Linked DNA regions of Arabidopsis thaliana. The protein of the gene in region 3 interacts with the protein of the main gene of each other region in a pairwise test. Each region holds a gene or a part of one and is shown on either strand. Other genes may lie near its edges.

Region 1 (5,855 bases), on a different chromosome or scaffold from region 3:
CATGCTTCTCCTTATAAAATGCATATACATCTAGTGTAGAGAACAAAAAAATAAGTTATCATACTCTAAACTTTGAAAAGTAACTTGGATTATAATATATGTACACGCAAAATCAAACATAAAAATAATAGCTTTGTAGTTTTTGAATTCATCAATGGAGAGGGAGACAAGGTCAGTCACAAATGCGTGTTTAAAGGTTAAAAAAAGTAACTTGGAGTTTACTTAGTCAAAACTCAATGAAACCTTATCAATTGCACCAACAGAACATTTAATCATTATCACAAAATGCATCTCAATCTTGAACCAGAATACTAAGATTTTGCGTCTATAAAGTGCGTGTCTTGTCTACATCTCTAACAAGCAAGATAAAGAAACATGCAAAGGAGCTGTTTTTACCTTGTGAGTGAGTTGTCTTCTTCTTCCTCCTCTAAAGGGAATAATGCGGTTCCAGAAAGAATCCTCTTGTGTCTCACTCTTCGCACTCCGAAGCTCTAAACTGCAAGCAAACATCCACTACAGAATTCAGCAATGACAACACAGATTCGAAATTTTGCAATTGTTTTGTACTTCTCCATTAGTGACTTTATCAATGAATGACACAAACCCAAACAACAAAACCAGATTTTGAAAAAGTAACTATTATCTTTTGGGGCACATGAAAAAGGAAAGTAGTCAGAAGTAGTAATCCAAGATGTCACGGTTGAGAGAAACAACAATGTGAAGTTTTCTTCTGAAAGGGAACCCTAAAGAGTGCCGGAATTGGAAACACAACAGTGCTCACCGGAAAACCAAAAGAAAACAAAACGGAAAGATTTGTAAAAGAAAAAGAGAGAGAAATGACAATGTTAATCCCACCCACTTCCTCCTGCTACTGCCTACAAGTTTGGTAGTTGTTTGTTCTTCGTCGTAGTCGTCGTCGTCTTCTTCTTCTTAACTTTTGTCTGAAGGGACCACTCCATTGATTTGGTCCCAAAGATTCTCTCTTTTCTTCTATTCGCCGGTTTCTCAGACTCTCTCTCTCTCGGCTTGGGTAGTTAATGACCGGTTTACCCCTGAAACTTAATTAGGAACCTTAAACCCGCCACGTGGACCTCACACTCCACTTCATCGTAGCCCATTAGTGAGAGACCTTTTCTCCCGGCCCAGAAGGTCATAATGATATTTTGATAACAAATATAATGGATATCTAGCCCAACATTACAAGTAAAGCCCAACATTTAGCAATGATGCACATGGCAGGCAAACTCTCTTCTTTGGATGCTCTGTTTTTTATAAAAACCATAATCTATATTTTCAACAGAAGAGAACATTGTAATTATGCAAATATTGATTCTCGTGTTTATGAATAGGGTGCGTCAAAACTTTTCTTTCAAATTTTACAAATGCCAAAGTGTCATAAAACAAGCTACAAAAGAATGTTTATGGAGGAGAGAAAGAATAAACTTTGGGATGAAAAGAAAAAAAAACTAAGATAATTGTGAAGATGTTAGTTAAATGAAATTGAGAAGATGGGCAAGGAAATAAAAACAACATTAAACCAAGGCCACTAGTAGAGTTTTGAGAGTTGCTTTCAACTACTTCTCGACCACCAATTTTTTAAATGGCTGGTGACATTTGGCCCACCCACCTCTTTGTCTTTTTTTTTAATTCCTTTTGTGGCTCTTATTTTTTCCCCCTTTTTTATTTATTTTAGTTTATATTTTTACTTTTAAAAATAGTCACACGTCCTAAATCTTAGCACATTATGTTGCCTAAAACTATTTCAGCTGCCGTCAAAAAAAGGAAGAAAAAAAATCAGATATAGGATCCAAGAAATCATATAAAGATTGTGACAAAAAAAACTTTTTCACCAAAACAAAGGAAACAAGACAACGAATGTGTTTCAGGGAGACACATCAATGACCTCCCAGATGGCATTGAGTCTTTCGTCTTCACTTTTTAGTCGATATCATTTTTCTTTTTGTCTGATAATGGTCTCTGATATAATGGACTTTAAACAATCTTATAACTCAAAACCATATCCACTATAAAAGATTTGGTCTTCCCAATATTTTCTCCTAAATCATACTACACACATTTCTTGTTAGGTACTACTTTAATCATAATTTTCGTTAGTCAAAACACACAATTAAAGAAAAAAAGTAATTGATTGGAGAAATTTACTCAAAGTAGTAATTAACAGATTTTGCCTTGTCACAGCAAAGTATGCTTATTTGATACTCTCGGCGCGTGGATTTGGTCGTCGTCTCTTCTGGTCTCTCAAGCTTCTCCTCCATCGTAGAAAAAGATTTTAAAGGAGCGATTTTTATAATCTTAAATAATTTCTTCCCTTTCTTCTTCTTCTTCTAGTTCCTTGATACCAACGCGTAATCCTAACCCTTAATCTACTTCCTCCTTAATTAATCAGAGGTTTCTACTTATTATTTCCACTTCTCATCTCTTTCAATCGCAATCTGAGTTCTGGCTAAAGATTTTGTCTTGAAGGTGAGATTCATTGTTCCGAATAGAGTGAGAAAAAGACTTATAAGATTGAAAAAGCAAGATGCGGATTTTGTGCGATGCTTGCGAGAACGCAGCCGCAATCATCTTTTGCGCCGCCGATGAAGCTGCCCTTTGTCGCCCCTGCGATGAAAAAGTAACTTCTCTCCCAAAAAAGCTTCCTTTTTTTCTTTAACTCTCCTCTCTATCTATTGGTTGTGCTCTGATGGGTTCGTCAAAGATCAAGTCTTTGTTATCTCTGTCTGGGAATTCTCAGTTGATTTGGACCTGAGTTGATCTGGCTTTTCGATAACTTTGAGCTAAAGAAATAAGATTTTTGAGATTTGGTTTCTAGATTCTTAGGCTCTTCACATGAGATTAGATATTTCGAAGTGTAGTGAATCCGTCAAAAGAGTTCAAATAGTTGAAACCTCTTCTCTCATTTGGTGGATTAAGATGGTTCAGTTGATGAATTTACATGTTTGATTACATGAGTGTTTGTTGCTGCGGTTTCAATGATTCTACTCTGTCATGTACATTGCAGGGAACGTTTTGTCTCCAGAGTTTGCATTTAGTAGTATTAACTTCTGGAGAAGAAAATAATCGATTTTCTGCTCTTTGCGCTTAATCCTTACTTCAGTTAGATGACTCTTAAGGGTAACACTTTATAGTCCTTCTCGAGTCATTGGTTCATCCTTCTCTACTGCAATAGCTCTTAGTAGTTTTCGGATTTTGATCGGAAATGGATTACTTCAAAGCTTTGTAATGTTTTCTTCTTTCAGGTTCATATGTGCAACAAGCTAGCTAGTCGGCATGTACGTGTTGGTTTAGCTGAACCAAGCAATGCCCCATGCTGTGATATATGCGAAAATGCACCTGGTATGATCTCTTTACAATGAACTTCCCACACTCGTGTTTAATGTTTTCGCATATGTACATATATTGAAAAATGAAGAGAAATCTTTTGTCTGCAATGTTTTTTGTTGTGAGAACAGCCTTCTTTTACTGTGAGATAGACGGTAGTTCTCTTTGTCTGCAATGTGACATGGTAGTACATGTTGGTGGCAAGAGAACACACGGTCGGTTTCTTTTGCTGAGACAGAGAATCGAGGTTTGAATTAACTAATTGTTTCTTTCTCACGCAGACACACAATCATTTTGAGTCGATTTCTTAGTTTTAATAGTCATCTTGTGTTTATCGTTTCTTGTAGTTTCCAGGGGATAAGCCTAAAGAAAACAATACGAGGGACAATTTGCAGAACCAAAGAGTCTCTACAAATGGAAATGGTGAAGCCAATGGGAAGATTGATGACGAAATGATTGATCTAAATGCTAATCCACAAAGAGTACATGAGCCATCATCAAATAACAACGTATATGAATCCCTCTATCCAACATATTCTCAATCTTTGTTTTTGTATTCTCAATTCGAATGTTTCTCAATGAGCAGGGGATTGATGTAAATAACGAGAACAATCACGAGCCTGCAGGCCTTGTACCAGTTGGACCCTTTAAACGAGAGTCTGAGAAGTGATAAGGTGAGAGAGAGAGAGAGAAAGAGACTCTTTACTCTGATTCAAAAAATCAGTTTAAGAAGAAGATTGTAAAAAGTTTCAAGAACTGGAGATTTCATGTCCGTTTTTTTTCCTTCCTTCTGATTCTTAGATCGTTGCTGGTGTAACCGAGCTTTGTTGTTGAAGAGGGAAGGTTTATGTTGTTTGTGCATTATCTTAGTTTTAAGGAATTAGCTTAAGTGCTCACATGAATGTAAGCTAATCTCTGAAATTCTAAATAATTTTATTTGTTTCTGTTTTTTTTTCTTAATAAAATCCTCTGGGAAATGGACGAAAAAGAAAGAAGACGAAAAATTGGGCCAATTAAAAGATTAAGCCCACTTAATATGCAAAGGCCCCATGAGGCTAAGCGTTGTCCTTTGAGAATTGTAAGCTTCGTGGAGACCATTTCCTCCTGTATCCTCTTTGTTCAAAATTTAAAATTGGTTGATTATGGAATAGTTGTAGTTTCAAGTTTAAATAGATCAAGAGAGATAGATAACTTCAATATAATAGAACTTATTAAAAGGAGTAGCTAACGCAAAGTAAGCAGAGAAAATAATGATTTGACATGATTAATAACAAGCAAACTCAAAAACAAATGTGATTAAAACATCTGCTTCATCTCTTTTTTCACAGCATCATCTCTTCAATAGGTGTACCCTTTGACGAACATGCCCTCCTTAGCCTCTTCGGACTCACCCTCACCGGTGTATTTTCCGAGCTGAGCCAACGAATTGGCCTTGGCACGGGCCAAGAGAGTGGTCTGAGCTGCGTTCACGTTCTCGGGTCTGCCGCCCCATGTTTTCAGACAAGTGTTCTGCAACGCACGTGCGTAGGAGAAGGACACGTGCCATGGGTTTGGTGCCTGGTTCATTGCGTTCAAGTTGAGTGTTGCCTCCACCTCCGACTGTCCTCCGGACAAAAACTGCAAATAACAAAAAAAACAAGAAACAATGTTACTTCTACCTCAAGCAACCAATATTAGGCTTTGCCTCATAAAACACCTTTTCGTTGTATTGAATCGAACAATCTTTTAATTGTGAAGAGAATGAGAGAAACTTGCCATGATTCCGGGGACTGCGGGAGGGACTCTGTTGCGGAGGAGCTTGAGGGTGTAGGCGGCAACTTGTTCAGGAGTAGCTCTGTCTTTAGACTCAGCTCCGGGAGTCACCATGCTCGGTTTTAGGAGGATACCTGTGGGTAAAAGTTTCCTTAGTGATTTTTCAGACATTATAAGTTGTATTAAGAGAAGCACTTTATAACGAATATACCTTCAAACATGACATTGTTCTGAGCAAGGTAAAAGAAAACCTCAGCCCAAACCTTCTCTGCTACGTCGTATGTTCTGTCAATGTCGTGTTCTCCATCCAACAAGATCTCTGGCTCAACAATCGGAACCAAACCGCTGTCCTGGAAAATAAAGTCGTGTGTGAATAGCTTGATACACTCCGATTTGACATGTTTCTTGGGATACACGCTATGTTTGTTACCTGTGAAATGGCAGCGTATCGAGCAAGACCCCAAGCAGCTTCTTTGACGGCGAGGGCAGACGGACCGTTAGGAATGCTCACGACAGTACGCCTAATCAACCATCAGAGACAATAAATCACTATGAAATCGAACCTAGGCATATTTTTTGGTAGTAGGAAATGAAATGAGAACCGAGAGTACTAGTCTGTACCATTTGGCGAAACGCGCACCCTGTTGATAGTAAGCAGCAGTTCGAGATGATAGACCATCTAGTCCTTGGCACCATGACTCATTGTTGGATCCAACAAGTGGCACCAAACCCTAATATTCCATACACATAACTCATTAAGA
Region 2 (6,131 bases), on a different chromosome or scaffold from region 3:
GAGATATAAACTTTACTGACCGTATATAATTTGGTTATTTGACGATTGGTTATTTACAAATCTTACATTACGAGCAAACATATACATGGGTATTCTGAATCTTGATATTCAGTATTGACTACTATTCAGGAACATAAACATAACTACTATTTTCCTAACTAAACAAGTAACATGAATACTATGATGAGAAAAGAAGAAATGTATAACTACAAAATATAGAAATCTCCAAGGCCAATTATAATTAATAAGGTTGATATTAACAAGCAACATATATATAAGAATCAGGGTTCTTAATTTTAGTTTTTTGTTGTGGTTTTTTTTCGTTGTTGTCTATTTTAGTGATTGAAATTCATTTAGAGGACTGATTGTCAAAAAAATAAAAAATAATCATTTAGAGGACTTGGATGAGCAGAAGCAGAAAATTAAAAAAAAAATAAGCATGAGAAAATAAGTAAGCAGAAATTTGGGTGACCAAGAAGCAGACACGTGCAGTGGTCTGGTAAAGGCAACAGTGATCGAGAAGTGAGCAAGTGTCCGTTAAGACAGCGACACGTGCTCTCGAGACCGTCGTGAACCACTTGCTCTACTTCTTTCCCTTTTTCGTCATTTGTTCTTAATCGCAGTTATTGAATTCCACAAACCACATTAACTAATAACTAATCTGTACTTATTAAAGTTAATAGAGTATGGTGTAATACCACTTGACTAAAAAAATACTACTAGATTATTAAAATTGCAAACGATTTGTACTAATTCTTGAATTAAATTGTGCGTGTTTTTTCCATGAAGTTCTAGTGATGTGATGTGGGATTGACATAGTGTAAGTTATTAAAATAGGGGTTTGGATTTCTTTATCAATATGATTTGTTAGGTGGAAAAGAAATGTATAGGTTTTAAAATAGTTTTCATTCTTCCTTAAATATCATTATCCCGGAAATTTAGTTATTTCTACTTTAAAATAGTTTGTTTAATTTTTAGATATTTGCTTGGATTATGTGCTTACTTTGATAATTGTTTTGCATTGTCTCCAAAATAAAATTTGTTTTTATATTTTTATTAGGCTAGTACATGTTATGGTTAAAAATAGAAAAATATCATAAAAACTGCTAAATTTAGACATTTTCTCATATAAAATTTTTATTTTTTTTGTTCTATATAAAATCCCAAACTTTTCAAATTTGAACCCGAGCAATGGCTGACTAAGACCTATACGATAATTTAGTTAAAAAGGTCGTTGACGACATATTTTTCATTTGATTAATTTTTGAAATTCACACATAATAGTTACAATTTTTCTAATTTCTAAGATTCATAGTATAAGTTTTTATCGTAATAAAGATATTTTTTTGGTAAATAACAATTAACATTGTTATGATACGGACAGTATATATATTTCCATGTAGCATTTTTTTATAAAAAAATTTCATTAACATAAGCAAACTTTAAACACATAAACAAAATATAAATAATTTACTCACATATCTAAAATTAAAAGACCTCAAACCAAATAGATAATAAAAAAACAGAGGAAGGATTCGAGCTTTATGCTCAAGAGAGAGGGTCGAGTTTACTCTGCAAAATGTTCTGAATATACAATATTAATCATGTCGGAGAACAAAAAGACTAAGAGTGTAGGCGAGACCGCGAGAGTTCCTTTTTTAAAGCAAGTAGATAAAAACTTGGAAAACTAGCTTGAGAATGAGAGATATGTTTATATTGCGGTATGAATCTTTTATCTATCTAAATCTATGTTCCGAAGGAATTGGTGGAAAACCATGAGCTTTACATGTAAAGAATGATAGACCAAACCTATTTTGAAAACATAAAACATGTAGCATTTTTTATGATCGAAACATATCATAGAGTAGATTATTGAGTATTAATCGAATTCTATTTCTATGAACAAACTAAAATCCTAAGGACACTTGGACAAAGTGAATTGTTTTTTTGTTTGTTCTCCTCTCCTACATAAATATACATGTGACATGAGATAATATGATTTCTCATATTCACGCATTGATTTGTTTCTAACATTTCTATAGCATTTATGTTCACAACTTCTTGATATAATAGCTGCCAAAAAAAACTTCTTTAAATATTTTCTTGTGTTTTTATTGCCAAAAACAAACGAAAATATCAAATAATTTTTCTCACCTGAAATCAAATTACTGAGGATGATAATTTAATACAGATATTTTGTAGAGGACCGTGGCAATTCCGTGAATAAGTAATGTAATGAAGGGCAAAAATGGAAATAAAATCAAAGTTTATGCCCAATATCTCTCTCCCCATCTGATGATCACTCCTTTAAAATCACCATCAAAGAAATTCCAATTTTCTCGGATTTTTATTTCTTATATACAAATCCCTAAAACCCTATAGCCCTCTTTCTTCGTCACCTACTACTACTAACTCCAAGCTCAAGCTCCTCTGTTTCTTCTGTAAGTCTCAATTTATCTCATCGAATTTTCCGAGAAACAAACAAAAACCAATCTTTTTCATAGAAAGAATCTGAATTTCGTGTTTATACTTAATTCTGATTCCAAAAAAACAATTCTAGATCTAAGATTTTTATTTCTTGATGAGAATTTCACTGTAGAAAGAAGTGTATTTGTTCCTTTAATTTGCTTTAAAATTTTGGTTTCATATAATCTCAAAGCCAAGAGCTTGACACCTGTGATCTGCATAGAATCCAGAACACATCAATAATGATTCCTTTTTAAGAATTTTTAAATTGATTTAATCTTCTTGTTGGTTACTATGAAACAACTCTTTTTCTTTCATAATTAGAAACACCAAAATCTTTATATAGAGAAGAAAAGCTTAAAACTCGATTTCTGCATTTTTTGTCTTCTTACTCTTTAAAGCCCTCCATTGATAATCGCTTCAGCCGAAAGCAGTTGATTCAGCTTAATTATTTATCATAGCTTCTGATTCTTCTTCTAGCTCCTTCTTCTTTAATCACGATCATTAACTTTAAACCCGTTTTATCAATTGTTGTGATATGTCAGATCTACAATGAGTAGAGCATAAATTCGAATCAGAATAACTGATATCTTAATTATGTGTATATATGAATGAAAGTCATCTGTAGAAAAAGTCGATAAGGATGTAACATATATATATATATATATAAGCATTTATGTATATATATATGTGTAAAGATTTGTTCTTATGAGATTGTTTCTTTGTTTTTGTTATTGCAGGCTTGTGGTTAAAAATCATTTCAGACACAGTGCTTTTGATGACTCTCTGCAACAAACAACAGCAGCTGCAGACAAAGCTTATACGAAGCTGTATCTACTGACTTTGATGGTGAAATATCAAAAACCCTAAATTAATTTTAAAAAAAAACACATTTTTTTTCTTCTTTTGGTTTTTCCTCTGAGGGTATTCATCATCAATGCTTACAAAGTACAGTGGGTAAACAAAACAAAAACAAAAACCCATTTTTTTCTCCTTCTTTAAATCCCAAACCAACCCTAAAGTTTTGATTTTTAATTTTGGGGGTAACCAAAAAAAAACAAAACCCTAATTTTTTTTCTTTAGTGATGAGATTATTGGTGATGATGAAATGATTGGAGATCTAATGAAGAATAACAACAATGGCGACGTTGTGGATAACGAAGTGAACAACCGGTTAAGCCGGTGGCATCACAATTCTTCCCGGATAATTAGGGTTTCACGAGCTTCCGGTGGTAAAGATCGACACAGCAAAGTCTTGACTTCTAAAGGACCACGTGACCGTCGTGTCCGGTTATCAGTCTCCACCGCTCTTCAATTCTATGATCTTCAAGATCGGTTAGGTTATGATCAACCTAGCAAAGCTGTTGAATGGTTAATCAAAGCTGCTGAAGATTCAATCTCTGAGCTTCCTTCACTCAACAACACTCATTTTCCGACCGATGACGAGAATCACCAGAATCAGACATTAACAACAGTTGCTGCTAATTCCTTGTCTAAATCTGCTTGTAGTAGCAATTCAGACACGAGCAAGAACTCTTCTGGTTTGTCTTTATCAAGATCGGAGCTTAGAGATAAAGCTAGAGAGAGGGCTAGAGAGAGAACAGCTAAAGAGACCAAGGAAAGAGATCATAACCACACTTCGTTTACGGATTTGTTAAATTCCGGTTCAGATCCGGTTAACTCAAACCGGCAATGGATGGCTTCAGCTCCTTCTTCATCTCCAATGGAGTATTTCAGTTCGGGTTTAATTCTCGGGTCGGGTCAACAAACCCATTTCCCTATTTCAACAAATTCTCATCCTTTCTCATCAATCTCCGATCATCATCATCATCATCCTCATCATCAGCATCAAGAGTTTTCATTCGTTCCCGACCATTTGATATCACCGGCAGAATCCAACGGCGGAGCATTCAATCTTGATTTTAATATGTCAACACCCTCCGGCGCCGGAGCTGCCGTCTCCGCCGCATCAGGTGGTGGCTTCAGTGGTTTCAACAGGGGGACCCTTCAGTCCAATTCAACAAATCAGCATCAGTCATTCCTCGCTAATCTACAGAGGTTTCCAACATCAGAAAGTGGAGGAGGTCCACAGTTCTTATTCGGTGCACTGCCTGCAGAGAATCACCACCACAATCACCAGTTTCAGCTTTACTATGAAAATGGATGCAGAAACTCATCAGAACATAAGGGTAAAGGCAAGAACTGATGATATTAATTATTGCATCTTTGGTTTTGTTCAAATGCTCATTTTGTATGTTTATCTTTGGTTTATTTCAAAACAAATGTTAATCTCTTTCGTTGTCTGATGTGTGTTAGGGTTTTGTTTTATGTATTGAGGGTCTTTGGAAATCTTTTTGCATTGTGCTTGTAATGTTGTATTTGTGATAATAGCATTTTGTTTGTGAGTTTATAATTGAATTTTTGAATGTTATTTTTGCCATGTAATTGGTATAGTTAGCATTTTTTTTTTCTTTAGTAAATTGTTTATAGTACGAAGATACTGTTTCTTGGTATTCATGAACAAATGGTAGGTCAAGGCAATAGGGCGATCCTTTTAAGGTACTAGATTGAATCAAATCAAATACTCAGAAGAATTAAATACAGAAATTAAGAATTTTCCCAAAAAAATAAAAAATACAGAAATTAAGTGAAGAGACAAAAAAAAACTTGTAAATAAAAATAGAAAGAAAGAAAATATACATAATAATCAGGGAAATAAATAATTTTGATAGACAAAACTGAAAAATTGAGGGTAAGGCCATTATGCATTGAAGAGAGTGAAAATCAAAATGAATTGTCTCCTGTTGTGCTCTATGTTTGGTTCCCTTCTTCCTTAGCATCATCTCTCTCCATATGTATTGTTTTTATAATCTATCTATCTTATGAATATATCTTCTTCATTTGACAGCTGTTGTCTTCAACAATGGCTATTCCCAAATTTTCATGATTTTATTTCTTATGATCTGTTTATATTATTATAAGTTTTTTTAACTTTTTCTTTCATGGGCTACTTGATCTTCTGCACCCACATGGCTAACCCATCTTTTAGGGTACTAGACAAAGTATTATTAAATTCATTCTTTTAGTTGTTTATTAGAAAACTTTCAACTTTTGTGTGGTTTTGGGATTTAGAGTAAAGTTGTTTTACTTGTGATTCATGTGTGTTTGAGGCTTAGGTACTTTCAAGTAATTTCCAAAAGTGAGAAAGATAATAATATCTTAAAAAACCTTTGATTGGGAGTCCCAATATTATATTGGCCTAAAACATTAGAAACAATAGACATTACAAAATATTTTAAATAACACAAAAGTGTTTGGAGATAACCATTTTATTATGAAAACACATAATTTTGTAGGTTTTTAATAAATATAATTTTTGAATATAATTATGTAACATCGCAATTGGCAAATGTTTATTGATACTGTTTTCAACAATTGCAATATATTATTGATTTTATATAGTTTATATTTTATTATTATTATACTTATATTGACTTCTATATACAGTAATTATGAATTCATAATATATAAGTTTGTATCAACACTTGTGTATATGATTTTTTCTTTTCTTTATCTGGTTAAGTTTATATTGGGCTTAGAACATTGACTTTGTTTCAAGGTTTATCGACCCATTAGAAGTTTTCTTTTACATGAGTTTTGTTTTC
Region 3 (7,328 bases):
TTATATTATTATATATGTGACTACCCCCGACCAATTTAAGTATTGTAACTAGTTTAAGACATAAACAACAGTTATTATAGTTAGCAACGAAGCTTAAATGAGTCCAAGATGTTTGCAATGTTGTTTCCCTGAGACCTACACCAAGAGATGGAGAAAAATGCTTGAGCTTCTGCATCAAACCCCAAAAAAAATCAATCCTAGTCCTAGACATCTCCTTCGAGAACCTCAGTGCCTTGCCTACCACGATATTCCCAAACTCAATCTTTGCCAGCCTCATCAACCTATCTCCGTCGCACTCCAAAAGCTCCACAACCACCACTACCGTTGACTCCTCCGCATACAGAAGTTACTACATACTTCTAAAACGAGAGCTCAATGCAATGACCATAAAGATTAACTGCGATGATCCCTAGATAAAATGGATTTGATCTTGTCACTTGCTAATGAGAGCATTAATGTCAAATTATAAAGATTTTAACTAATGCGAGTTTTAATTTTTTTTTTACATTAATTGACTTGTATTCATAGAACATTTGTAGCAAAAACTTGGAAAACAGAGGTTTCTCTCTATTGTTATACTTGTAGGGCTTCAAATTGGAAAAAGAAAAAAACACTGCTAAAACGCCATCGTTTTCGAAAATTAGTCATTAGAGGCCCACGGGAACACGATATATGGGCCTAAGTTTCGGTCAATTCTATATAAGAAAATGACAATACTGTCCTAAATAATAGAGGCACAGAGACAGAGAAAAGCTTTTAACTTACTGGTTTTACAACTGTGAGCTGATTTCTGATGTGCCACTCTATTAAAAGCTTTTAACTTATTGAATTCATTAGTTTGTTTGGTTATTTTTCGTTAATGTGAAAAAGTTTCTGCTAGAACCATTAGCAGGAAGATCCGTTTGTGATATCTAGAGATTTCTGATGGCTATGAGACATTTGTATCTATCTTGATAAGATTGTTATCTGAGTATAAGCTGTATGCTCTTCGTGATTTTCCTGCTAATGGTTCTAGCAGAAACTTTGGGCTTGTGACAAGGCAGCCATACAATGGAATGGAAGGGAAGCTGCTTCCTTAACTGAGCAAGGTGCGATTTTATCTTTAGTGCACCAAATATGATTTACTTTTCTTTCATAAGGTGTTGATGAAGTTTGCAATGTGTATTCGTTTACAGCTCTCGATTTAGGTTTGTTTTGTTTTCAGAAATAAGAACACAAGAAGAAATGTATTAGCCAATTTCGTTTTTCAAATTGTGTAAACTCTTCTTCATAAGAACTCCAACTTTACAAAACAAAATAGTAGTTTATGACGAAACACTTTTCTTACCAGAGTTATGTAACTACATTGAACACCGGAACAATTAAACTATTGTAAGCTGGTTTGAAAAATAAACACAGAGTTATAATCAGCAACGAAGCCTAAATGAGTCCAAGATGTTTGCAATGTTGCTTCCGTGAGATCTACGCAAGAGACGGATAAAAGGCATGAGCTTCTGCACCAAACCCCAAAACAGATCCATCCTAGACATCTTGGTGAATCTCAGAGCCTTGACCACCACGAAATTCCCAAACTCATTCCTCGCCAGCCTCATCAACCTGTCTCCATCGCAACCCAAAAGCTCCACAACCACCACAACCATTGACTCCTCCACCTCCAAAAGCTTCTCCACGATGTAGCTTCCATACTTCTTAAACGATAGCTCAATGCACTGACCATAAAGATTAACGGCGATGTTGTGAATGCAACGCGAGTCATACAGTGTAAGCACATGTTGGACCACAAAGTTCCCTGAAGCATCGTTGCTTAGCCGGAGAGCGTTGGATGCGACCAATTCTAGTAGCTGATCTCTGTAGTAAGGATCGTCAGCGTCGGTTATGATATCATTGAGCGCGATGCAGCCGTGCTGGTCACACGCTAGGTCGAGAGCGTGGTAGAGAATGCGCTCGTACAATGCCTTTTTCATCACCTTGTCGAAAACGACCATGGCTCGTATCGTCACGTAGGATGCGTATTTGTCGGTCGTGATGTGGAGGAAGCGGCGCAAGATAGCGGCACAGAAGAAGGCGTCCACGTCATCTGATTTGCCGAGGAGCTTCTGCACGCGTCTCGAGCCGAACTTGGTTGTGACGATCGACATGAAGTAATCGGAGTCAGACGTAAGCAACGAGGCCATCCTCTGAAGCTCTGTTTTGTCTGAATTTGAGATCATCTCTTTAAAGTAAGACACACCATCGCCGTCAGTCATTAGGTTGAACAGAGCTGCGTGCAAGGGCGTGGCGGAGGCGCGTGGGGCGAATCCAGGAGGAGGAATGGAACCGGAGATTCCTTTAGGGTTTGGTAAAGCATTGAACATGGTCGACATTGAAAAGGGATTATCAGCGACTGCCATTGATAAATCTCTTGATGATCTACAGAAATTTCTCTAGAAAAGGGTTTAATCAGTTTGTGTGATTTGGGAGAAGTATGAGAGACTTGTGAATGAGAGATCTGTGGTGATGCGTAGAGTATTTATAGAAAAGTTAGGGCTTTTGTTTTTCTAGTTACAATTACACAACTCGGATTACTACTAGGAAAAGGAAAAGGAAACTTATTTGGTGGAGTTTCCTTTTTGTTTTGTCAATTTTCCTTTTTTCTTTGCATTTTCGTAACTGTCATGATTTTAATCTATCTTTTTTTGGTGTGTGAAGATAATAATAATCTATCTGAAACAAATGGAAATATGTAATTTGTTTTGTTGTAAATCGACAATAATTTAACATGTCGATAATCTCTAAAGTCTAAACCAACCCCTCGCAGTCCAAGCTTTTGATTTTGTCCACGTCACTAATCTCAGCATGCGTAAATTTATCTGGTCCTACTTGACACGTAGGTTAGTTCTGCCACGTCATCAAACTCCAAAATAATATCTTCTCTGACCTTTTTGTTCTACCACCTCCCAAAAAATCCCAGTCTTCTCTTCCTCTGATTCTCTATCAAGTTTTTTAAATTTTCTTTCTTTTTATTCTATTTTAGTAGCAATTTGGTTCTGTAAAGTTGTTGGTAAAAGAAAAATAGATACGAATCAAAACATTTTTGAATGATTAGGTGATTAAATGCTAAGCAAATCAGATTAAGCAAAAATCTGTTCTTTTTTGGTTGTAATTTGGTTTTTCAAGTCAGATATGGTGAGAGATTCTGGTGGTGGTGGTGTTCATCAATGGATTATGTGAAAAAGGTTTGCTTTTGTTTGTCTTGTCGCTTTTACAATCTGCTGCTGTTTGAATTTTGTGCTTATTTCATTAAGTATTATAGCTTAGAGCCTTAGAGTTTGATTTTGTATCTGGTTCTGTAGAGTTTATAAGAAATTTGAGAAAGTAGGAGATCTTTACAATCATCTAATGAATAAAAGAAACTGTGTTCAAAGTTTGTTAACTACTTACCAAGTACTGTGATAATTTTCCATTGGAACATTGATAGCTTTTGATTTTAGAAACAACAAGTTTCAGATTGTTTTCTAAAGCTGAGTGTGTGCTACTATTGAAATTTGATTTGGCTTGTTTAGTTTTTCTTTGGACAAGTTTGATGATTTATCCAAATTCAGTTTTTTATTTTTTGGTTCTGGTGTGAGACTGTGATCTTCTTACGGAATGTTGCTTTTTTTTTTGTTTCTCGTTTCTTATTGGGCTGAGGTTTTGGTGAAGGGATTAGAATAAGTTTGGGGAAAGAAGAAATGTGCAAGTGTTATGTCAGTGTAGAGGGGAAGTTTCTGCAGAATCTTAGCTGTTACTTGATGCTGCTTCTATTCTATCTTGTTCATGGAGGCTGGTCTTGACACTTTCATGAGATATTAGTATTCTAAAAATGTGTTTTAATAACATTGAAACTGGTGATGAAGTGGAAACCGAGAGGCAAGTGTTTGGTTCATCTGAAGAAGATGAATTTCGAGTTGAAGATACTGCTAGAAATACCAACAATGTACAGATTTCTCAACAACAGCAGCAACCGCTAGCTCATGTTGTGAAGTGGGAGAGGTATCTCCCAGTTAGATCGCTTAAGGTTCTTCTGGTGGAGAATGATGACTCAACACGCCATATTGTTACTGCCCTTTTAAAGAATTGCAGCTATGAAGGTTTTCTTATATTGAATTGATCATCCTTGTTTAGCAATCACATTTTTGCTTTTGACTAACAGTTGTAAATTTGGAAACTTTTTGTCAGTTACTGCTGTTCCGGATGTCCTTGAAGCCTGGAGAATTCTAGAAGATGAGAAAAGTTGCATTGATCTTGTCTTAACAGAGGTTGACATGCCTGTGCATTCAGGAACCGGTCTGCTGTCCAAGATTATGAGCCATAAGACACTTAAGAACATCCCCGTCATAAGTATTTACTCAAATCCTTGATTAAATTTTTGTTTATCCAGCTTCAATATGCCATGCTCAGTTTGTGTAACTCAAGATGTGATGTTTCTTTTTGTAGTGATGTCATCACATGATTCTATGGTTCTGGTCTTTAAGTGTTTGTCGAATGGTGCTGTTGATTTTCTCGTGAAACCCATTAGAAAGAACGAACTAAAGAATCTTTGGCAACATGTCTGGAGAAGATGTCACAGCGTAAGAGTTCTGATTTGGTTACCTGTTTTACAAAAGTTACTCTGTGTTTTTTTCTTACTTATGCGTTTATTGATTTACCAGTCTAGCGGAAGCGGAAGTGAGAGTGGAATACATGACAAGAAGTCGGTGAAACCTGAAAGCACCCAAGGGTCAGAAAATGATGCCAGCATCAGTGATGAACACAGGAATGAAAGTGGGAGTAGTGGTGGTTTGAGTAACCAAGATGGTGGGAGTGATAACGGGAGTGGAACTCAGGTAATCTGTTCTATGGCTATAGATAATAACAATGTCTGAATAAATCGGTTTATAAATTTTTGATTGGTTTTGCATTTATAAAAATATGTAGAGTTCTTGGACAAAAAGAGCCAGTGATACTAAGAGCACCTCGCCTTCAAATCAATTTCCCGATGCACCCAACAAGAAAGGAACCTATGAAAATGGATGTGCACATGTTAATAGACTGAAGGAGGCTGAAGATCAGAAGGAACAAATAGGTAAGAACGCAAATTAATTAGTCAATTAAAATGTGAGTACACTGATCTTGTGGAACAATTCCTTGAGATTCTCTCTGATTTACTTTAATTCAAAACAATGACTTTAGATGATATTGTATTAGGCACGGGATCACAGACAGGAATGTCTATGAGTAAGAAAGCTGAAGAACCAGGAGATCTTGAAAAGAATGCAAAGTATTCTGTTCAAGCTTTGGAGAGAAACAATGATGACACGCTGAATCGCTCTTCTGGTAACTCACAAGTAGAAAGCAAAGCACCTTCATCTAACCGAGAAGATTTGCAATCACTCGAGCAAACTCTGAAAAAAACAAGAGAGGATAGAGATTACAAAGTCGGTGATCGAAGTGTGTTGAGGCATTCAAATCTCTCTGCATTCTCAAAGTAAGTTCTTGACATTAACTGCAAATGAAATGTCGAACCTGTGACTGATTTGGAGTTATTGGTTCTCTTGTGATATGCAGATACAATAATGGTGCTACTTCTGCTAAGAAGGTAACTTTTCATGATGCTTGGCGCTGTCTTTGAAATTTATGCCGGTTTCATCAAAAACTTTGAACTTTTGCTGAGTTAGGCTCCAGAAGAAAATGTGGAAAGTTGTTCTCCTCATGACAGTCCTATTGCAAAACTGTTGGGTTCGAGTTCAAGCAGTGACAATCCTTTAAAGCAGCAGTCTAGTGGAAGTGACCGATGGGCACAAAGAGAAGCTGCTTTGATGAAGTTTCGCCTTAAACGTAAAGAGCGATGTTTTGAGAAAAAGGTAAGCTCTAAACAAGCTTAAGCTCTTGTTTCCTGAGACGAAACTAACGTTTTTTTTGGTATCCTTTAGGTTAGGTACCATAGCAGGAAGAAACTAGCTGAGCAACGGCCTCACGTCAAAGGTCAATTCATTCGCAAGTAAGTTCAAATCCTTTCCAAGATTTCTCCCTCTAGATGTTTCGAAAAGTATCCTGATATAGTAATGTACTCACATGGAGTCCTTTGCCTTTAGGAGGGATGATCATAAATCAGGAAGTGAAGACAATTGAACAACAAAATTGGTATAGAAGAGAGATCCACCTCCAATATCTGAAGAACAGAAGAAAATTTCACAAAGTGGCATTTTTTTTTTTCCATTTCCAAAAACAGATAGTAGTCTTGTTTAAATAACGTCATTACTATTCTACAAACATAATAATGTCGCTATAGTACTTCTTCTCTGAAAACAATAACTCATTAACATTTCAATAAATAATGTTACTCATTAATTAGTGTGTGTGTTTTATGAATATAATTTGAGTATTTAATTCTCTAATTTTTTTAAGAATTATTAGAGCGCATAATCTCCCGTCTATATAAATATCCTCCGGCGAATTCTTTTAGTTCTCATCATCCAAACCTCTCTCATTCTCTTTCTCGCTCTAGTTTTCTCGTTGAGAGTCTCTTACTCTGTTTAATTACTTGTTTCCGGGAAAAAGATTCTCGGGAAAACAAAAGAAAAAAATCTCAAGAAAGATTCATCTTCGTTGATCGCTACGATGAAACGTTTCTTATGCTGTCTCAAAGGAGGAAGCTCAAGTAACGCAGCGCAAGGTAACGACGAGAACGACGAAGTAGATGTCGAGCGCCTATTTGGGAATAACGAGCGCCTCAATCATCTTTGGAGAAATCATCTCCGACTCCCTGACGATCGTGAAGTTGCAGGTTCCGTTTTCGTTTCTCTTCTTCAATCTCTTGAAATCGAGATTTCTTGTTTTCTGGGTTTCTTGTATCTTACGCAACTCTGTATTTTAAGAGTTTCTTTCTTACTTCTTCGTTTTGGTCTCGTCACATTCTTGCAAGTGAAAGTAGTATCTTGTTCAATCTTTAACCTTTGGTAATTCATTTGCAGATCCGACTGCTGCTCTGTTACCAGTATCTCCACCTCTACCTGATAATTGTGGAGAATCATTTCTATGGCGTGAGCTCGTAAACGGAACCATAAACTTCCGGGACGAATTTTATCTCGGCAAAGGCAACTTCGGCGAAGTCCATCGCTGCTATTTCTCAAGACTTAATGTGGTATATAGACCCAAAGGTCATGTCCTTTATGCTTAATAATCGAAACCCAGTTTCTAAAGTCTGAAACTTTTGATTTCATTAGGATGGAGCGGTAAAGGTTCAAAATCCACAGAATCCAACTGGTCATGTTGAGTTCTTGGCAGAGGTTACAACGTTACGTGCAACTAATCATCCAAATGTGATTAGA
Region 4 (4,537 bases), on a different chromosome or scaffold from region 3:
ATAATTTCCAACAAATTTTAAAGCAAAATGTATTCTAATTAACTAACAACTTACAATTAAGATCGCTCCATAGGCATGAATATTTTGGTTTGCGGTATTCGGATTGCATGTTGCGAGCTTAAAACATGCTAAAACGGTCACCAAAAAGAGAATTAATGAATGATAATGATATTATAAAACAATTCATTTTCTTAGGTTTTAGTGTTTTAGAAACTTACGTTTCTGTGACGTAGAACCTTGTCTGCAGTAATGTCTAAGTAATACATAAAAACATTAATTACATCCTTAATGATGAATATTTCATATATGAAACAAATTTTCAAAAAGTAACAAGAGTTGTGAGATAAAAGAATCAATACCCACTACTACAAGTGACTTTTCGAATCGTTGTTGGGCAATATGAACCTGGTGAACAAAACATATCACCACTACTCTCAGCATCAACCCAACTATCTGCAGAACCACATGTATGATTCAACTTTCCCGGAGGAATTTGGTAGTTATATCTGCAATGTAAAAACTCTTTAAATCATCCACTAATAAGATTTTTCATTAACTTACTCAATCTAGAAAGCTAACAACTTACGGCTCACAAAATCCTGTTGTTTTATTAAGCTTGGCAAGCGGGCAATATGCGCCTAACGGACACGCTTCGTTTACATAAATCAGAGAATAAACAACAATGAATATGTTAGATTAAAGTTTTAGTACTTATAATGTTGATATAACATATATGTATGTAAATGGATATCTTACGTATCATGCAAGCAAGACCTTGTGGACAAAAGAAACCCTCACAACAAGGTTGACATTTACGAGTTCTAGATGGAAGAATTTTTCCATTGTTGAGATCAAATCTTTTTTCATCATCTGCATTGCAACTCCATCCAGGCTCACATCCGGAAACCCATTTAGCTAAATTGCAGTTGATGTTAGGCTTTACATGAACCGTTGTTGCTTCATCTCTTCTAACAAAACTACTAAAGTAGAACTTTATCTCCGCAGCTGAACATAGTCTAAGTGTGAGGTCACCTGCATATCACAAGACCATTAAATCTCAATGTTCAAGTATTTGAATATAAAAACATAACCCTTTTTATGTTGTTTACCATCATTTTTCTTGACACAATTGCTTAAGAAGTCCAGATTTTTATCAAAATTAAATGCTTCATTCCAATCGCCCTTCCTGAATTATCAACAAACGATATGAGAAAAATGTAAAATTCAAACATGGGACTACATTAGCTGATTTTGAAAAGACTTACAAATTCTTGATGCAATAACCTAAATCTCGATCAACGTCAGCCTTTAAAACAGTCTTTAGATTCTGAAGTCGAGTATAGATAAGGTTTGTAACCGAAACAAGAGCTTTTGGGTTCCCTGTTTTGCTGTAATCATCTCCATCCAGAGATAGTGCAAATGACATAAAACTCAAGCCAAAAACAAAGAACAAGAAGATGTGTTGTGTCCAACAAACATCAACCCTAACTCTCATTGTTCTTATATCAAAAGTCTTGCCTTAAAATCAGAACCTTCCGAATCGAAATATCTGAACCCTCTGACCTAACAATAGAATAGATACATTGGAAGCTACCAATAGAAATATCCGTAGAGATGTCTTGTGTTTTTCTATCATGTCTTGAGAAAACCAATGAGTATATTCTTGAAAAATGGAGATGAAGGATTAAAAGAAAGCTAACGAGCTTGTTGTAGATTTTTTTTGTTCTCTTTTAGAAAATCTTGAAATGTTGACGTTGAGATCAAAAGTTGGAAAGTTGAAAAATGAGAGACTTGCGTGAAAGAAGAGAGTTGAGAAGGGTCATCATGGAAGGAGGTCCAGATTTCTAGCAAATGAAAAAAAAAATGGGTGAGAAAAATGATTGGTTTCTTAATTATAACTTATTTCCAAAAATAGAAATAACTATATTGGAGGAGCATGACAAATGATGATTCTTTGGATTTCATGAGAAATTTTTGTTTATTTAAATAGTGTTGCTTAATGATTTCAAGCATTACTAAAAAATCACAAATCAATAGTGAGAAAAACAATATAAACATTATAAACATATGGCATTATTTTTTAATCAATTTGTTTCCAAAACCAAATAATAAGATTATCAAACAATATTATTAGTTGTTTAGTGGCAAAATAACATTACCAAACTAAACAACATGATTTGACTAAATTATCCTTATCTGTTACCTCCTAAACTTTTAAAATCCTAATTTTAACACTCTAAATCAAAAGCCTAATTTTACTAATGGTGACGGCGTCTACGTTCCTCCTCCTCCGCGATCTCAACCTCAGATTCCGCCGTCGTGGTCATCGGCTCTAAAAGCATCGCTGTGAACGGCATATGACTGTAACCATTCACCGGATACTGAATTCCGATTGGCTGACAAAGATCCAACCTACAACTCGGCGATTGTGGCGTTTGCGTTTGCGTTTGCGGCGACGTCATCGACGACGACGACGAGGAATCGTCCGCCGCAACATCAACCCAATTCGAAATGAGCTTAGTCCCGTAGCCAGTGGCGGCAATAATCGACGGTTCAGCTTGACTAAGAAGCCATTCGATGGTTTCTCCTTCAGTTTTGTGACCGAGCTCACGCGTTAACTGGAAAATCCTAGCGGCGGCGAGAGCCGGCATCGTAACTCGACGGCTTCGTCCGTTAACCTTCGTGTGACGGTCTTTAGTCCTGGCGGAGATACATCCGCCGCCGCTCGAGGAGGATTTCGAAACACCGAACTGCGTTTGGGAACGCGATTCGGAAGCTATAGCGTTGAAGTTGGACTCATTTCTGCACACATTCTGAAAAATCATCTCCGAATTCGTCGATTTTGTAAACTAATTTCAGTGACGATGAACAAGGATTCACAGAGAGAATCTTAGGGTTACTAAAGGAGGGAGAAGAAGATGATTCGAATTAACTTTTGGATAATTTGGGCTTTTAAGCCCAATATAAGGCCCAACATGATCCACTCTGTAGGAAAAAAAAAAAGGGAGAGAGAACAAAATCTGACTTCCATGGCAACAAACAAGTTTTAATTTTTACAAAAAAAAAATTGGGAGTGTGTGTGTCGCCTTATCTGTTCGTCATGGCTCTGTAGAGTAGCCTCATGTTCTTATTCTTCTTCTTCCTTAGCCATTCGTGGAAGCAAAAACAGAGTCTTTTATTCTTTGGTGATTCTGTGAAATGGAAGCTACGAGGAACTTGGTTTCTTCATCTCCTTCGTTTCAGACAAAGACTCATCTCAAGAGCAGCTACTCTTCTCCTTCCTCTGGTACTTCTTATTCAGCTACTCTTCATATAGAAATATTGTGTCTTTGCTGGATTTGTCTCTGTTAGTTACTGGAATTTGAAGTTCATGGATTTCAATTTGAAATTAGTGTATGTATACGAGTTTGTGTTAGCATTTTCTGATTTGTTTTTGTTCGTTTGTTGGTATTTCTGTAGTAGTGATGCTTCATGATCAAACAACAACTCCTGTTGTTAACTCACGTCATCTCAATTCTCTATCTCGACATTTTCCTGCGTCGGTTCTCTCACAGGAGCCACGGGAAGAGTCTAGGCCTCTGTCACATGCGTTAAGAGACGATAGAACATCCCAGGTGTGTTTTATTAGCAGCAATATTGTCCTAAGAGATTGAATCAATCATAAAGTTGTCAACTTTCTAGTCCTCTTGTTTAATGCGATTGGGTTCCTTGCATTTTTAGTTGACTCTGGAGAGGAGGCAGTTTGATGAATTGGTTTCATCTCGAGAAGATGAGAAATTTGAACAGCAACTTCTTCACTCTACTGGTTTATGGAATTTGTAATGTCTCTTCCTCTCTTAAACCCACCAGTTTCAGTTTTCATACAACCTTTTGAGTTTTCTGAATGATGTAGCCTTTCTTTTGTTTGCAGATTAATATCTCCTTTAACATCTGAAACGAAATTGCCGGCAGTTGTGTCTCCTTTAGCTGATGCAGAGCTTTGTGATGTGGTTGCACTAGCTCAGAAGGCTTTATCAGCTTCAAAACAAGCTGCATTGTTAGTTGATGACACTGAAGCAAATCCATCTGACAACATCAAGGATTCTCTCTCCACTAGGTTGCTTTTTTTAACCTTGTTTGTGTATCTTATCAATCTGCTACTTGTGGGCTGTAATGTGAAAAGATTTGTATTTCTGGATGTTTGGTTTTAGCTCTTCTATGTCCTTACCGGAAAAGGGAAACATAGTAAGATCGAAGCGGCAGCTAGAGAGACGAGCAAAGAACAGACGGGCTCCAAAATCAAACGATGTGGACGATGAGGGTTATGTTCCTCAGAAAACTAGTGCGAAGAAAAAGTATAAACAAGGGGCTGATAATGATGATGCGCTTCAGCTCTTCTTGTGGGGACCTGAGACAAAACAACTTCTGACTGCTAAAGAAGAAGCTGAGCTGATATCACATATACAGGTTCATGCTTTCCTTATTCATGTGTCCTTGGACTTCCTTCTTGTCCCTGGTGCTAACTTCCATAATCTTTGATCTATCAGCATTTATTAAA

Evidence for each region.
Region 1: the proteins of PRR3 (region 3) and BBX19 interact in binary tests that used the Arabidopsis thaliana proteins (3 or more experiments, as listed by UniProt).
Region 2: the proteins of PRR3 (region 3) and TCP2 interact in a two-hybrid assay, tested with the Arabidopsis thaliana proteins (one study listed by BioGRID).
Region 4: the proteins of PRR3 (region 3) and AT2G37000 interact in a two-hybrid assay, tested with the Arabidopsis thaliana proteins (one study listed by BioGRID).

Annotation. Positions count from the first base shown.
Region 1 is NC_003075.7:18,159,034-18,164,888, forward strand, and holds BBX19 (B-box type zinc finger family protein), read left to right. Parts: upstream 1-2,054; 5' UTR 2,055-2,542; coding exon 2,543-2,635; intron 2,636-2,841; coding exon 2,842-2,937; intron 2,938-3,022; coding exon 3,023-3,055; exon of another isoform or gene 3,056-3,135; intron 3,136-3,260; coding exon 3,261-3,357; intron 3,358-3,473; coding exon 3,474-3,589; intron 3,590-3,689; coding exon 3,690-3,851; coding exon of another isoform or gene 3,852-3,928; coding exon 3,929-4,012; 3' UTR 4,013-4,288; downstream 4,289-5,855. Other genes in the region: FBA2 (fructose-bisphosphate aldolase 2), read right to left, coding at 4,681-4,959, 5,098-5,228, 5,306-5,444, 5,525-5,615, 5,716-5,825.
Region 2 is NC_003075.7:10,161,753-10,167,883, reverse strand, and holds TCP2 (TEOSINTE BRANCHED 1, cycloidea and PCF transcription factor 2), read left to right. Parts: upstream 1-2,300; 5' UTR 2,301-2,441; intron 2,442-3,206; 5' UTR 3,207-3,574; coding exon 3,575-4,672; 3' UTR 4,673-4,962; downstream 4,963-6,131. UniProt on the Arabidopsis thaliana protein: Plays a pivotal role in the control of morphogenesis of shoot organs by negatively regulating the expression of boundary-specific genes such as CUC genes, probably through the induction of miRNA (e.g. miR164). Participates in ovule development.
Region 3 is NC_003076.8:24,197,016-24,204,343, reverse strand, and holds PRR3 (pseudo-response regulator 3), read left to right. Parts: upstream 1-2,979; 5' UTR 2,980-3,215; exon of another isoform or gene 3,216-3,681; 5' UTR 3,682-3,841; coding exon 3,842-4,109; intron 4,110-4,197; coding exon 4,198-4,359; intron 4,360-4,455; coding exon 4,456-4,844; intron 4,845-4,935; coding exon 4,936-5,083; intron 5,084-5,205; coding exon 5,206-5,485; intron 5,486-5,565; coding exon 5,566-5,596; coding exon of another isoform or gene 5,597-5,629; exon of another isoform or gene 5,630-5,675; coding exon 5,676-5,861; intron 5,862-5,930; coding exon 5,931-5,998; intron 5,999-6,092; coding exon 6,093-6,129; 3' UTR 6,130-6,346; downstream 6,347-7,328. Other genes in the region: PUM18 (pumilio 18), read right to left, coding at 1,407-2,390; AT5G60090 (Protein kinase superfamily protein), read left to right, coding at 6,619-6,784, 6,972-7,141, 7,224-7,328. UniProt on the Arabidopsis thaliana protein: Controls photoperiodic flowering response. Component of the circadian clock. Controls the degradation of APRR1/TOC1 by the SCF(ZTL) complex. Expression of several members of the ARR-like family is controlled by circadian rhythm.
Region 4 is NC_003071.7:15,538,678-15,543,214, reverse strand, and holds AT2G37000 (TCP family transcription factor), read right to left. Parts: upstream 2,970-4,537; 5' UTR 2,826-2,969; coding exon 2,259-2,825; 3' UTR 1,967-2,258; downstream 1-1,966. Other genes in the region: NAP12 (non-intrinsic ABC protein 12), read right to left, coding at 55-128, 219-253, 360-506, 587-650, 757-1,032, 1,110-1,186, 1,266-1,495; SIGF (RNApolymerase sigma-subunit F), read left to right, coding at 3,199-3,286, 3,460-3,614, 3,721-3,818, 3,911-4,096, 4,191-4,446, 4,527-4,537.